2 linked regions of the Neodiprion lecontei genome follow. The protein of the gene in region 1 interacts with the protein of each later gene in a pairwise test. Links are inferred from orthologs where the notes say so. Each region holds a gene or a part of one and is shown in the gene's direction. Other genes may lie near its edges. The genes, in order: cysteine and histidine-rich protein 1 homolog and ubiquitin-conjugating enzyme E2-22 kDa.

Evidence for each region.
Region 2: the proteins of cysteine and histidine-rich protein 1 homolog (region 1) and ubiquitin-conjugating enzyme E2-22 kDa interact in a two-hybrid assay, tested with the Drosophila melanogaster proteins (2 studies listed by BioGRID). The link is inferred for Neodiprion lecontei from reciprocal best matches to the Drosophila melanogaster genes CG32486 and Ubc4.

The regions. Positions count from the first base shown.
Region 1 is NC_060260.1:36,889,186-36,894,012, forward strand, and holds the start of cysteine and histidine-rich protein 1 homolog, read left to right. Parts: upstream 1-1,793; 5' UTR 1,794-2,069; coding exon 2,070-2,315; intron 2,316-4,827.
Region 2 is NC_060261.1:10,719,779-10,726,097, reverse strand, and holds ubiquitin-conjugating enzyme E2-22 kDa, read left to right. Parts: upstream 1-1,801; 5' UTR 1,802-2,012; coding exon 2,013-2,075; intron 2,076-3,220; coding exon 3,221-3,373; intron 3,374-3,450; coding exon 3,451-3,533; intron 3,534-3,688; coding exon 3,689-3,852; intron 3,853-3,964; coding exon 3,965-4,096; coding exon of another isoform or gene 4,097-4,101; exon of another isoform or gene 4,102-5,095; coding exon 5,096-5,118; 3' UTR 5,119-5,423; coding exon of another isoform or gene 5,424-5,434; 3' UTR 5,435-5,643; downstream 5,644-6,319. Other genes in the region: ribose-phosphate pyrophosphokinase 1, read right to left, coding at 1-152; E3 ubiquitin-protein ligase RFWD3, read right to left, coding at 6,012-6,319. UniProt on the Drosophila melanogaster protein: Catalyzes the covalent attachment of ubiquitin to other proteins.

The DNA.
Region 1 (4,827 bases):
ACCATATGAATAATTGTTTTCGTATACAAAGTATACACAGGTGTATGAAATACATTTCCACTTAAAGAAGTGAAAGTGCGGAATAAAGAATAAAAAGATGTATTATAATTAAATACTTTTTTGATTTTGTTTTGCGCAGATGAAATCAAAATTTTTCAATATCAATAGTGTCTGAATACTGGTATTCAATGATTAGTGTTTGTGAATTCGTGAATTCGTTTTGTACTTGTTGAATTGATGACAGTAGAAATCATCAAATTATTAATACTTTGGAAACGAATTATGTATAATTATTTAAGCTTCAGGTTTTTGATTTCGGGAAAGGGTCAGGCTGATTATACGAATTTGGCATATTGTAATTACCCATTAAGTCAATCAAAATAAAAGTTAGGGAAAAAAGCAAAAGTAAAACTAATGAAGTGTCTCCAACGAAAAGCAGAGGGAAGGGATGCTAGGCTTAATAAAAACTAATCTGAAAGTGTCAAAACTATTTAAACTTGCGGAATCATCTATTGACACGTTAAATTAATGATATTGGGTATTTTTCAAGTAAAAATGAAATACTTAACTTCTAAGAAGAAGAAAGGATACATTTTCGTGCCAATACGTAAGCGTTACGAAATAATTGAATCGAATTATAAAATATGGCACAACTGTCAAAAGTTATAGTATATTTATAATGTGATAAATTAAGAAATTGAGAAACGTTAATAACTGCAGTCGCTTGCTGCTTCTAGCCTTGAGGCGTATTGACAAATTTTCCCGTGCGATGATGTTGAAATTGAAAAAAGTTTCAAGCCCGATTAAAATCTCTACGCAAAGTTATCATTACCCAGGCTCTTATCGGAACAAGCAATTTATCGTTTCACATACCGTAAAAATAAAAACAAAGGAACATATACGCATAAAAGACAAAGAACGTTGTAACGATAATTGTCTTAATAAAACCTGTGAGAACATATTCAAATTTAAATATACGGTTTATTTTATCAGTCCCTTATACACGACCTTCTCCTATCATTGGTATCAATTAGACGCGAGTCTTTAACCACATCAGTCACGCCATAAATTTCTAATTATTCGAATATATTGAATTATAGAGATATAATAAATATTAGTACAATAATGTATTTTTATACATGCGTTTTCGAAACGATTCTCTACTGTCACGTACTATCGATGTTAAAGAAACAAACAATTTTGTCCTGTCTAAGTGTATACGATTTTGAAATTTCGAATGACAAAAGTAGATAGCAAACAGCTGATTTCGAGCGGTAACTTATATTACTATATCCGATGTGTACCGCAGTTGTCTTTTCCGAAGTTAAAAAGAAAGACATAAACTAACATCAAAGTGATCGTAACGGTTACATAATTCTCGTATCGCCGTCGAGTCGGTGGATTACAAAAAAAAAAAAAAACCGCATCTCCGCCTGGTCGAATGACAAAATTTTCTAACTGCATAGCGAACGATGATCGCTTAGCTACCTCGAGAAGAATTCATCTAGCCACTTATAAATAACTGCATCGAGGAACGGAGATGCGTACAGAGCAGGACGATCATAGCCGTGGCGTGGGTTTTAAAAATATCGCACGTGCCGCCTGCGAGGGTCTCGCCAGATTGGCCAACGGCTCCTGCTGCGCAGTGTCGGGAGTCGATCAGCTGACTCGCATGCAGCCCCCCCCCCCGCTCCCGGCCTGTGCCGCTCCCCCCCGCCAGCCATTTGCCCCTCCTCCTCGCCCCTCTCCCCTCCGCGCCGCTTGGCCGACGTGCCTCTTGAGCTGGGAATTCGACGGCGTGTGTCGCGCAGTCAGTGTCACGCAGCAGCGCGTGTGAGATATCTGACAGAACACAAAGTAAGGAGGAGGAACGAATTTGATAGATCGGGTGGATGACGGCAGAGTTTTGAGCCGGGAAACTATCGTCGATTGGCCCGGGGCAGGATCGGAGTGGTGTAAAATAGAAAGATATATAAAAAGAGATACAGCGATATAGAGGAGACAAAAGAGCGGCGGGTGAGGCTCCGCGGCGGCACCCAGACGGTTGTCAAAAAATCAAAACAACAAAAATGGCCGATCCGAGCAGCGAGGCCGCGTCGTCCAGCGGCGCTTCGGATCTGGCGGCCGTCGCCGCCGCAACACCGATACGCGACGAGGCCGAGAAACAACAGGTCGAGGATTTTCTCGAACCGGATAAAAAGCGTAGGAAATTTTCAAGGGGCGACGGAAAGACAGAGCAAAAGCTGGAGCATCGGCTGGGCGGCATCCTCTGCTGTGCCGTCTGTCTCGATCTGCCCCGGGCAGCCGTTTACCAGGTATGTACGTCCCTCTCGCCCTTACGCGCGCCTCCTATCCCTTCTCTCTCTCTCTCTCTCTCTCCCTACGTCTCTTCTTTGTCTCGACTGCTCCTTCGCTCACCGTGACGCGACAGCGATCCCGAACAGCTGTTCCGTCACGTACCTCTCCATCCATCCACCAAACGCGCATTTCACGTTTTCGATTAATATCCATGTACGGTCTCGACGGTGACGCGTTTCGTTTCGTACGGGCAAATCGCACGTGATTGTTCTTTAATTTTCCTCTCTCACCCCGCTGACGAATTTCTTTGTATTGATTTTTTTTTTATTCCTGAACGAAATGTCCTCATTTTCTCCGATCTTGCGATCTTTTTGCAACGTCGAGTCCTGAATCTCCTCGAATATGTATATGTTGTAATATGTGGATGGTTGTGATAGAAGGCGTGTAGTAGGACAAAATGGAGATCTCTTTTACTTATTTTTCTTCTTCTGTTTCTTATCCCTCTTATGCAATATCTGGATGAAACGCAGCGGTGTTTATCCTAGTATTATAAGTAAAATATAACGCACAGACGAACTGTGCAACAACTATAGTACCTGTATACTAATTTTCTTTCATCATTTACTTTGTTATTCTTTCCTCCCTCCGCAGAACTAGTAGTGTCTATTTTTCGATATTATAGAAACAAAATTACACGCTAACAAGGTATAGATAAACTAATAAATTGAAAAAAGAAAAAGATAAAAGGAGCAAGGATTGTCAGGCAAGTATACGCTCGATTTTATTACATAGGTATGTCGTACAATCTAAAAATTTGCAGACATCCTCGTAGTTACGATAACTTATAGTTTACAGATCGTAAACTTTAACCTGAAAGCGCACCGAAAATCGAATAAATTATCAATTGTTAAAAAAAAAAAGAGGACACGATGCTCAAAGTATCCACGGCACGTGTGTGTACTGTGTGTATGCGTGTGTGTATGTGCGTGAGTAAAATGTGAATGTGTATTCGATAATTGTTGAGCTAAATAGTATATTGTGTTCAAAAGCTGCATCGTACTCTGGTACATACTACGTATATATTATATATACAAAAACGCGCAAAAACAAGGTAGGTGAATAATTCACGTTCTCTTTCTCTTTCTCTCTCTCTCTCTCTCTCTCTTTCTCTACATAATCAATGAACGACTTTATACCCCGCATGGCGTTCACGTTGGCATTATTCTTGTAACAGAGGAACAAAGAATACCTCCGATAAATAGGATGAAAAAAGAAATAATGAAAAAAGAACAGATTGATAATATTCTGTTTTCTGCATTTCTTTCTTCACCACCGTTTCGACATGTATTCTTGCGTGTTAGATAATTCACCCAGAATCCACTTCTCGAAAGTGCTACACCTACGATAATATCGCCTTCCTGTCGACGGTGAACACATGGGGTTTGAAAAATCAATAACCGGCAATGGTCAAGACGGAGTTGACTCTTCACGATCGGCAACAAAGCCCGGAGACACACCTAGGTACTTATATTACGTTGCGTATCTGATCGTGAATCGGAGTTTGTCCCTCTTTCATATCCGTAAGTCTATGTAATAATGCTTTCAACGGAGGAACGTGGGTATCGAAAACAATTGAACAACGAGGCTGAAGTTGGCTGCAACGTTTAACGTAACGAAAAATTGAGGGGAAAACATGGATTTACTTTAAAATTTTACAACTACCGATGGATTGAGTCATGAGAATATATCAGTCGACCATTTCGCTTTATTCATACGGTTCATCGAACATCGTTACACAATCGTAACGTTGCGAAACATGGACGATTTTTTTACCCAATTTTTAAGCATCGTTAGAATTACGCTGCCAACTTCAGCCTCGTGACTATTCGACGAACGAAATCGTGTGCCGCGGGCCAATCTACTCTGTATGTATACGTACATACGTACGTTTGTACGTACAATTATGCAACAATAGCGCAGCTTTCATATATATAAACTGCAGCCACACATATAGGTACGTTCACTGCAGCGTGAAAACCGTTACGCAACCTTGAGAGCTTACCTTAACTTCCGCGGCTTCTACGCAGTAATATTTTTATTTACATCTAATCGTTCCATCATCGCGTCTTTGGCGGTAGTCTGTCGTTTCTCTCCCTTGTATGGATAAAATCGTTAATCTCAAGTTTTTGTATTTAAATACGAATGAGTTATCGCCTTTATTTTCTTTGTTTATTTTAAATATACTCCTTCTTATCACTTATCGGTTCCCTCTGCAATCACGCACGAAGATATATGGTACAGAGAGAATTTATGATGTATTTAAATCGTTCATGTCACGCGACGCCATTTTCCGTCTATTCGATGCTTGCTTCTTTTCTCTTTCTCATAATCAGTGCTTATCATCTTTTGTTCGTTGGATTGCAATCGTTGCGCCATTCGGAGCCAGACGCGTCATTGGCAACGTTCAACATATATATATATATATATAGTTCAAAGTATAATTTATATTGATACGAATTGAGCCGACTT
Region 2 (6,319 bases), on another chromosome or scaffold:
CTGTCGACTATTCGCTGCGCCAGGTCCGGGTGCGACGTACCGCTGAATACTTTGATATTTGGCATTCTGCTCCGTAGTACACTACCGCCACGAGGTTTCTCTAACTTTGCGCGTAACAAACTCCTCGCACGGACTGGTTGCGAGACGGGCATTACTGTAAATCCGAACGACCAATCAGAGCCGTCCGGAAATTATCAGTATGCGGACCCAGCGCTCCCTCGTGTCAGCTTACCGAATTATTTGCATTTCAAATCTTTGATCTTAGGGTGGATTTTCACTGGCGGCAATATGCTTTTTTCACCGATAGGAATGCCGATAAAGTAATAAAGTGCTGCCTGATGCACGCTGAATGCGAATTATCCATTTTTATTATTATTTGCATTGGTCTGGAACTAGGCAGTAAAATACTGCCGCAGCATTTTGCTGTCCACGAAAAGCTCGCATGCCTCATGGGGTAAATGGTAACGGCCACTCGGTATACTCTATCTCTCTTGCTCTGCGCTATGATTAGCTGGTCGATCATTCAAATTGGCCAATTTTTCTGTTATTTTTTTATTTTTTTTTCATATTCTCACGAACTTCCAGCGAGTTTTAAGAGGATGCTACGGGTAGTCTCTAGTAACCGAATAAAATATCACTCATTTTGACTATTACCCAGAGTCTACGCATCACTGACATGAAAATGGCGCGGATAGCACATTTTAGCCACTGCAATGTCGAACAAGAATATTCAAAAGCTTCTGTCTTTCATGCAAGAATAACATCAGAAAATGTGCTCCTACAATTAGTAGTAATTCTATTACAGGAATATCATTGTAGCGTAAAACAAATACCCGTTGGGTTCTTGTGTTCTGCTTTCGATACAGAATAGTGCTATCACGGGACTACCTTTTCCCGTTAACGAATGCGTAGGCTCTGATAATAGTTAATCATAAGTGACATTTGACTTGCTCGGTAAGGACTGACTATAGAAACTTTTTTGTGAACTGATTTTGAATTTTGAGGATGTCGAAAATTGCAACAGATATTATCGTTTTCAAACCATTAAATATGACTCGAAGAGATAAAATTTGTTCATGAACGGGTACGGGGATAATTAAAAAAAAAATTAGGTAATGCGTTTCATAGTTCGGTCCGTACATGGCAGATATGATGCTGCAAACATATTGACATAAAATCGAACAGAATTGTAATTATGTACTTGAGAATCATTGAAGCATACATATTTACTATTCGTTTCATAAGTCAGCAGATAATTTAAAGTTTACTAATTAATCCGGTCATAGTTAATTTATTATCAATCGGTGTTCTGTCATATTATATTCCATTTTGTCACAGTATAATGTTACATATATATTATACATTTTTTGTACGTGACATCGTGGTCCAATTTGTTATTTTTTCAACTTTCTTCTTCAATTATAAAATTATTTATGCTGATTTAATTCATGCACTTACGTTACAATTAATGTAAAAGATTAATAGAATCGTTCGGTAAAGTATTTATATAAGTGCATTGCAGCGTTAAGATCTGACAGTAAAACAGTTAATATTCACCACTCAATATCTGTGAAGGCGTAGAATAAAACCTGCGTCATTGCTTACGTATTCCATAAGTAGTTGTTGAAGAATTGAATAAAAAAGTTATATATAACCATATTTACATGAGTCAGTGAATAAGTTTTTTGAAAATCTCGAACGAGATTGGTAGGAAAAAAAAAATTTCAAATTAGCGCCAAAGTAATCGCGGCGTGACTCTAGTCGGAATTTAAAGAGACAGGCAAGTGACAGTCACTTTTCTACTTTTCGTCTTTTCCTATCAATGTGGCGCTAGCTGTGATCGAATGACAAATTGTATGTAACCGCCAGCGGTTATTTGGGTAAAAAAAATACAGGTTGCGACAACAGTACATGAATTAAAAGAGCTGTTTAAATCGAGGTAAATACTGGCATCCGTACATTCGGCGGTAAATTATGTCAGTGTATTGAGTAGCTGGGAGTGATAGGGAGACATGGCGAACATTGCGGCGCAACGAATCAAACGGGAGTTCAAAGAGGTTATAAAAAGCGAAGAGGTGAGTGAATAAGTGCAACTTCTCAACGACCCAGTACATTTACCAGTATTTAGCCAAACGCGTGATCGCGAGAGAATTTCACATATTATGCAACGCTAACCTGTAACAAACGGCTAAACAGATTCTCCACGTACCAAGTCGTAGACAATTTTGAGTTGAGGGCACATCTCGCTTTCCTCGCTCGTTATAATTTTCAAACTTTCCTCTGACAGTTGCTTGCGCAATTATTTACCTCGTCTGAAAAGTGTCTGTTGTTATTAGAAAAAAAACATTTTCATTGAAAACTTATCCTTTTCACAAAATTCGTGAGAATCTCAAGTTCTTAGTACATGAAATATCCTATTCAGTTCATACTCATTTCCATAGAATCTTTATTTCTTCAATATCTACGTTCTCTGTCAGGTTCATCTTTTAGGTTTCATCATTTCTCCGGATATTTGAATACTGTTTTAGAGTCACTAATTAACCATCCAAAATTCCTGTTTGAAAAGATATCAATAAATGTAGCTTACTTACCATTTTCTTCTTCTTCCGTTGACAATAATTCGACATTTTCTGGGCTTGCCATAGATTTTTGGGTTGCAGTCAAGTTTTGTTTTTCCAAGACCCCTTTGTAGGCAGGCTATCACGATTTCCACGCTTTGTTAACAAACTGCTTTGAATCTCGTCACATTTTCTTACTTCAGACCGCTTCTTGCGCTAGTCGACATTTCGAAACTTTGTTATTTTCTACACATCATTACGGGTCGCGTTGATAAACTTGGCTTGGTCATTTTTTCTATAAAAGTATTACAGATTAAAGGCTACAGGGGGTCGGCAATCTTATTAAAAGTAGATTACTATTTCTCAGCAATACGATGTATCTGTTGAGCAGTACTGTTCGTATGAATCGCGATAATATTTGTGTTGATAAAACATAACAACCTCGGTGCATAGCTTGGTTGCCTTTCCCTTTTCTACAATTATAATATTCATTAAATATGCTGATAAGATAGTGTTGTGTTTCAGTTGAAATATATTTTCAATAGTTGAAGTTGATATTGAATATGGTCAACTTGTCAAATGATTTCCTCTTCTACTTTATTGGCATTTTCAACAAACAATAATTGACTAATCATGTTTATCTCTTTTCTCTAACATTTCAGGTGGCAAAATGTGCGATTAAGGTAGAACTAGTAAATGATAGCTTCACAGAATTAAAGGGTGAAATAGCAGGACCACCCGACACTCCATATGAAGGTGGCAATTTCGTGTTAGAGATAAAAGTACCTGAAACGTATCCATTCAATCCACCCAAAGTAGGTACCAAAACCATCATGAACAAAGATGTAGTATAAGATCTGAAGTCATTGAATTTTACACTTTTTTATTTCAGGTTCGTTTTATCACAAAAATATGGCATCCAAATATATCCTCGGTTACAGGCGCCATATGTTTGGACATATTAAAAGACCAATGGTAAGTTGCAGTCCAATAATGGTTACTAATATAATTGATCGGGTGATAATTTTGCACTCTGCAATGTCGTTGGTTCTATCACCTTACGACAGAATAATTGCATAACAGATTTTAGTTGCATTGTGTTTTAAACGATAATTGTCATCCTTTGTCAGGGCTGCTGCGATGACCTTAAGAACAGTTTTGTTATCGTTACAAGCCTTATTGTCAGCTGCTGAGCCTGATGATCCACAAGACGCTGTGGTTGCTAAGCAGTATAAGGAGCAGCCTGAAATGTTTCGTCAGACTGCAAAACATTGGACGTCTGTGTATGCTGGTGGTACAAGATTTATCTACTACGAAATTTATTAAAGTTTTTTTTACGAGTAAAGACCTCAGCGAACTAATGATTGTAATATCAAAAAATACCAAGAAATGCCTGATATTTTTAGGACCAGCTAAGATGTCAGATCTCGATGACAAGATAAGAAGATTGACTGATATGGGGATCGAAGAACATAATGCACGAGTAGCCTTATCCTCCTACAATTGGGACTTAGAACGTGCCACCGAACAGCTATTCAGTTAGTGATTACTGTGTATTCTTATGTATCATAAAAAGCAGCTACTAATTGGCAGCAACCTCTTGGAATGTCACTGTCACAAAAGCATACCATCGTGTTTTCAAATAATTGAGAAAAAAACCCAACATTCGTAATGACAATATTGCAATGGTGAGATAACTTTGGAAGTGATCCCAAATTTGACTAACTATTAGCATTCATTTAACATGTAAAATAGATACGAGAAACAATAATAATTGATGAACAAGTTTTAAGTAGCAAAATTTCATAAGGTATGTAACTCAAGAGGAGGGCATTATTACGATTTACGAGAATAAGTTGTAAATTCTAAATCTACAAGACGAAGCGACATTTATGTTTGAATAGACATATGAATGTTTTTTTTTTAATCAATTCCCAATAATCCACTTAGAAACAGCATTAGTAAAATATTTAAGAACCAAACACGTATTAAAATCTACGAAGATAATTGCTTTGATTAGGCACTAACACAGTTGCCAAGTGCTTCCCTGAAATTTTTCTTCAATCTGAGTTCAAGTTTTATGTGAAACCTCATTGCTGGAGGTGTGTATCCAATTGACTGCGTTACTAACGGTTGTACTACTCAAGTGTAACTCATTGTCAGTTCAATGAATGATGATATTACATGTTTTTGCCCCCAACTCTTATTGTTCGAATATAAATAAAATTATTAAACACTTCTTCAATTGTCAAAATTTGAAGATTGACTAGCTGATTATAATATCCTGCAGCATATCGACTGATTGTAACGGGGTTTCGCTTGACTCTTGAGTGTATATTAATCAAATTAACGTATCTTTTAGTCCTAATAAACGTATTTATGAAATTTCGGTAGCCTCCAAACTTGATTTGTGAATATTTAAATTTTGCACATTTTTTGAAGTTTGATTACTTGCAAACTTACACTACTTTTCATTATACCGACGATAAGAAAATTCCAAGAAATCAGCAAAATTAAACTTATAATTTTAATTACAGTGACGGTTATGGCGAAAAATTGAACGTAGCTATTTGATGAAAATACATTTCTTAGAAAACTTGGAGTGTAAGACGGCAGTGTGGTACGACAGGATATCGCATGGTCGGTCCCGTGCACGTTTGCTAAGTGATGTTGTATACGTTTCACGTAATGGAACATTTGATTAATTTAATCTACATCCTATCTTACTTCGATTGTAATTCTAAGAGTAAAGTTCTATTGCCAGGTGTGAAATCTTACCTGCATACGATGTACTCCAATTAATTGAAAATTGATAGTTATGTTTCATAATATTTCATGCATTTTTCAATCATTCACAATGTGCAGGCTGTGTCTGAAGTGTCGCCAGCAAGAGTCAAGGTCCAACTACTCGCAAACCAGTTTGTTAACTTGGGACAAATGGTTGGGATCTGTGAATTTGAATTTACAGGAAAACAAAAAAAAAACTCTGCTCTGTTCATATTGGGAAATTTAGGATTTATACCATTTAATAAGATCAATGTACATTAATAGGCCTCAAATATTAATAAAAGTAATTTTTTTTCAATACTTCTTTCAAAATTTGATCCACCTTGATTTGATCGTGGAAAAATATAAATAGTATACAGTTTTGAATTACTGGAAGTAAAAAAATTATTCGGTCAATATTTAAAAACAGGGCTTATAGCACTCTTAAAAAACGTGCCTAATCTATAAAGAAAATTTTTTTATTCGATACAAAATACTTACGCTACAATAATCGGTATCACATAAATTTAATTACACACACGTATATGACATATTGTATAGTTTAAACAAGTTTCTTTCACTTTCTATTTCACTAGTAAATAAAACACATTCGATTATGATTTCACATCATGCTATTCCTTAATAACACTTGACGTCAACGTCTGTATGCATTTATCTTACAAATAATCAATTACCATATTTATATGCCCTTAGTTTCTTTTGAGAGAGCGTTGCTAGAAAGAGGTCATTGTTTTTAGTATTAAAGGCGCAGAAGTCTATCACAGGATCAGAAACAGGAAGATTATAGATCTGTTTACCAGTTGATATGCTCCAAATTGGTATAGAGCTGGTAGCTTCTTGATGAGCGGCTAGAAGCGTGTCATTTTCAGTCTTTATCTGACACGGTCTAGAAAGTAATTTCTGTGAATTTCCACCTTGGAAAGTGTGAACGATATTGCAAACGATTATATCCTCGGTACCTTTTTCAATTGTAC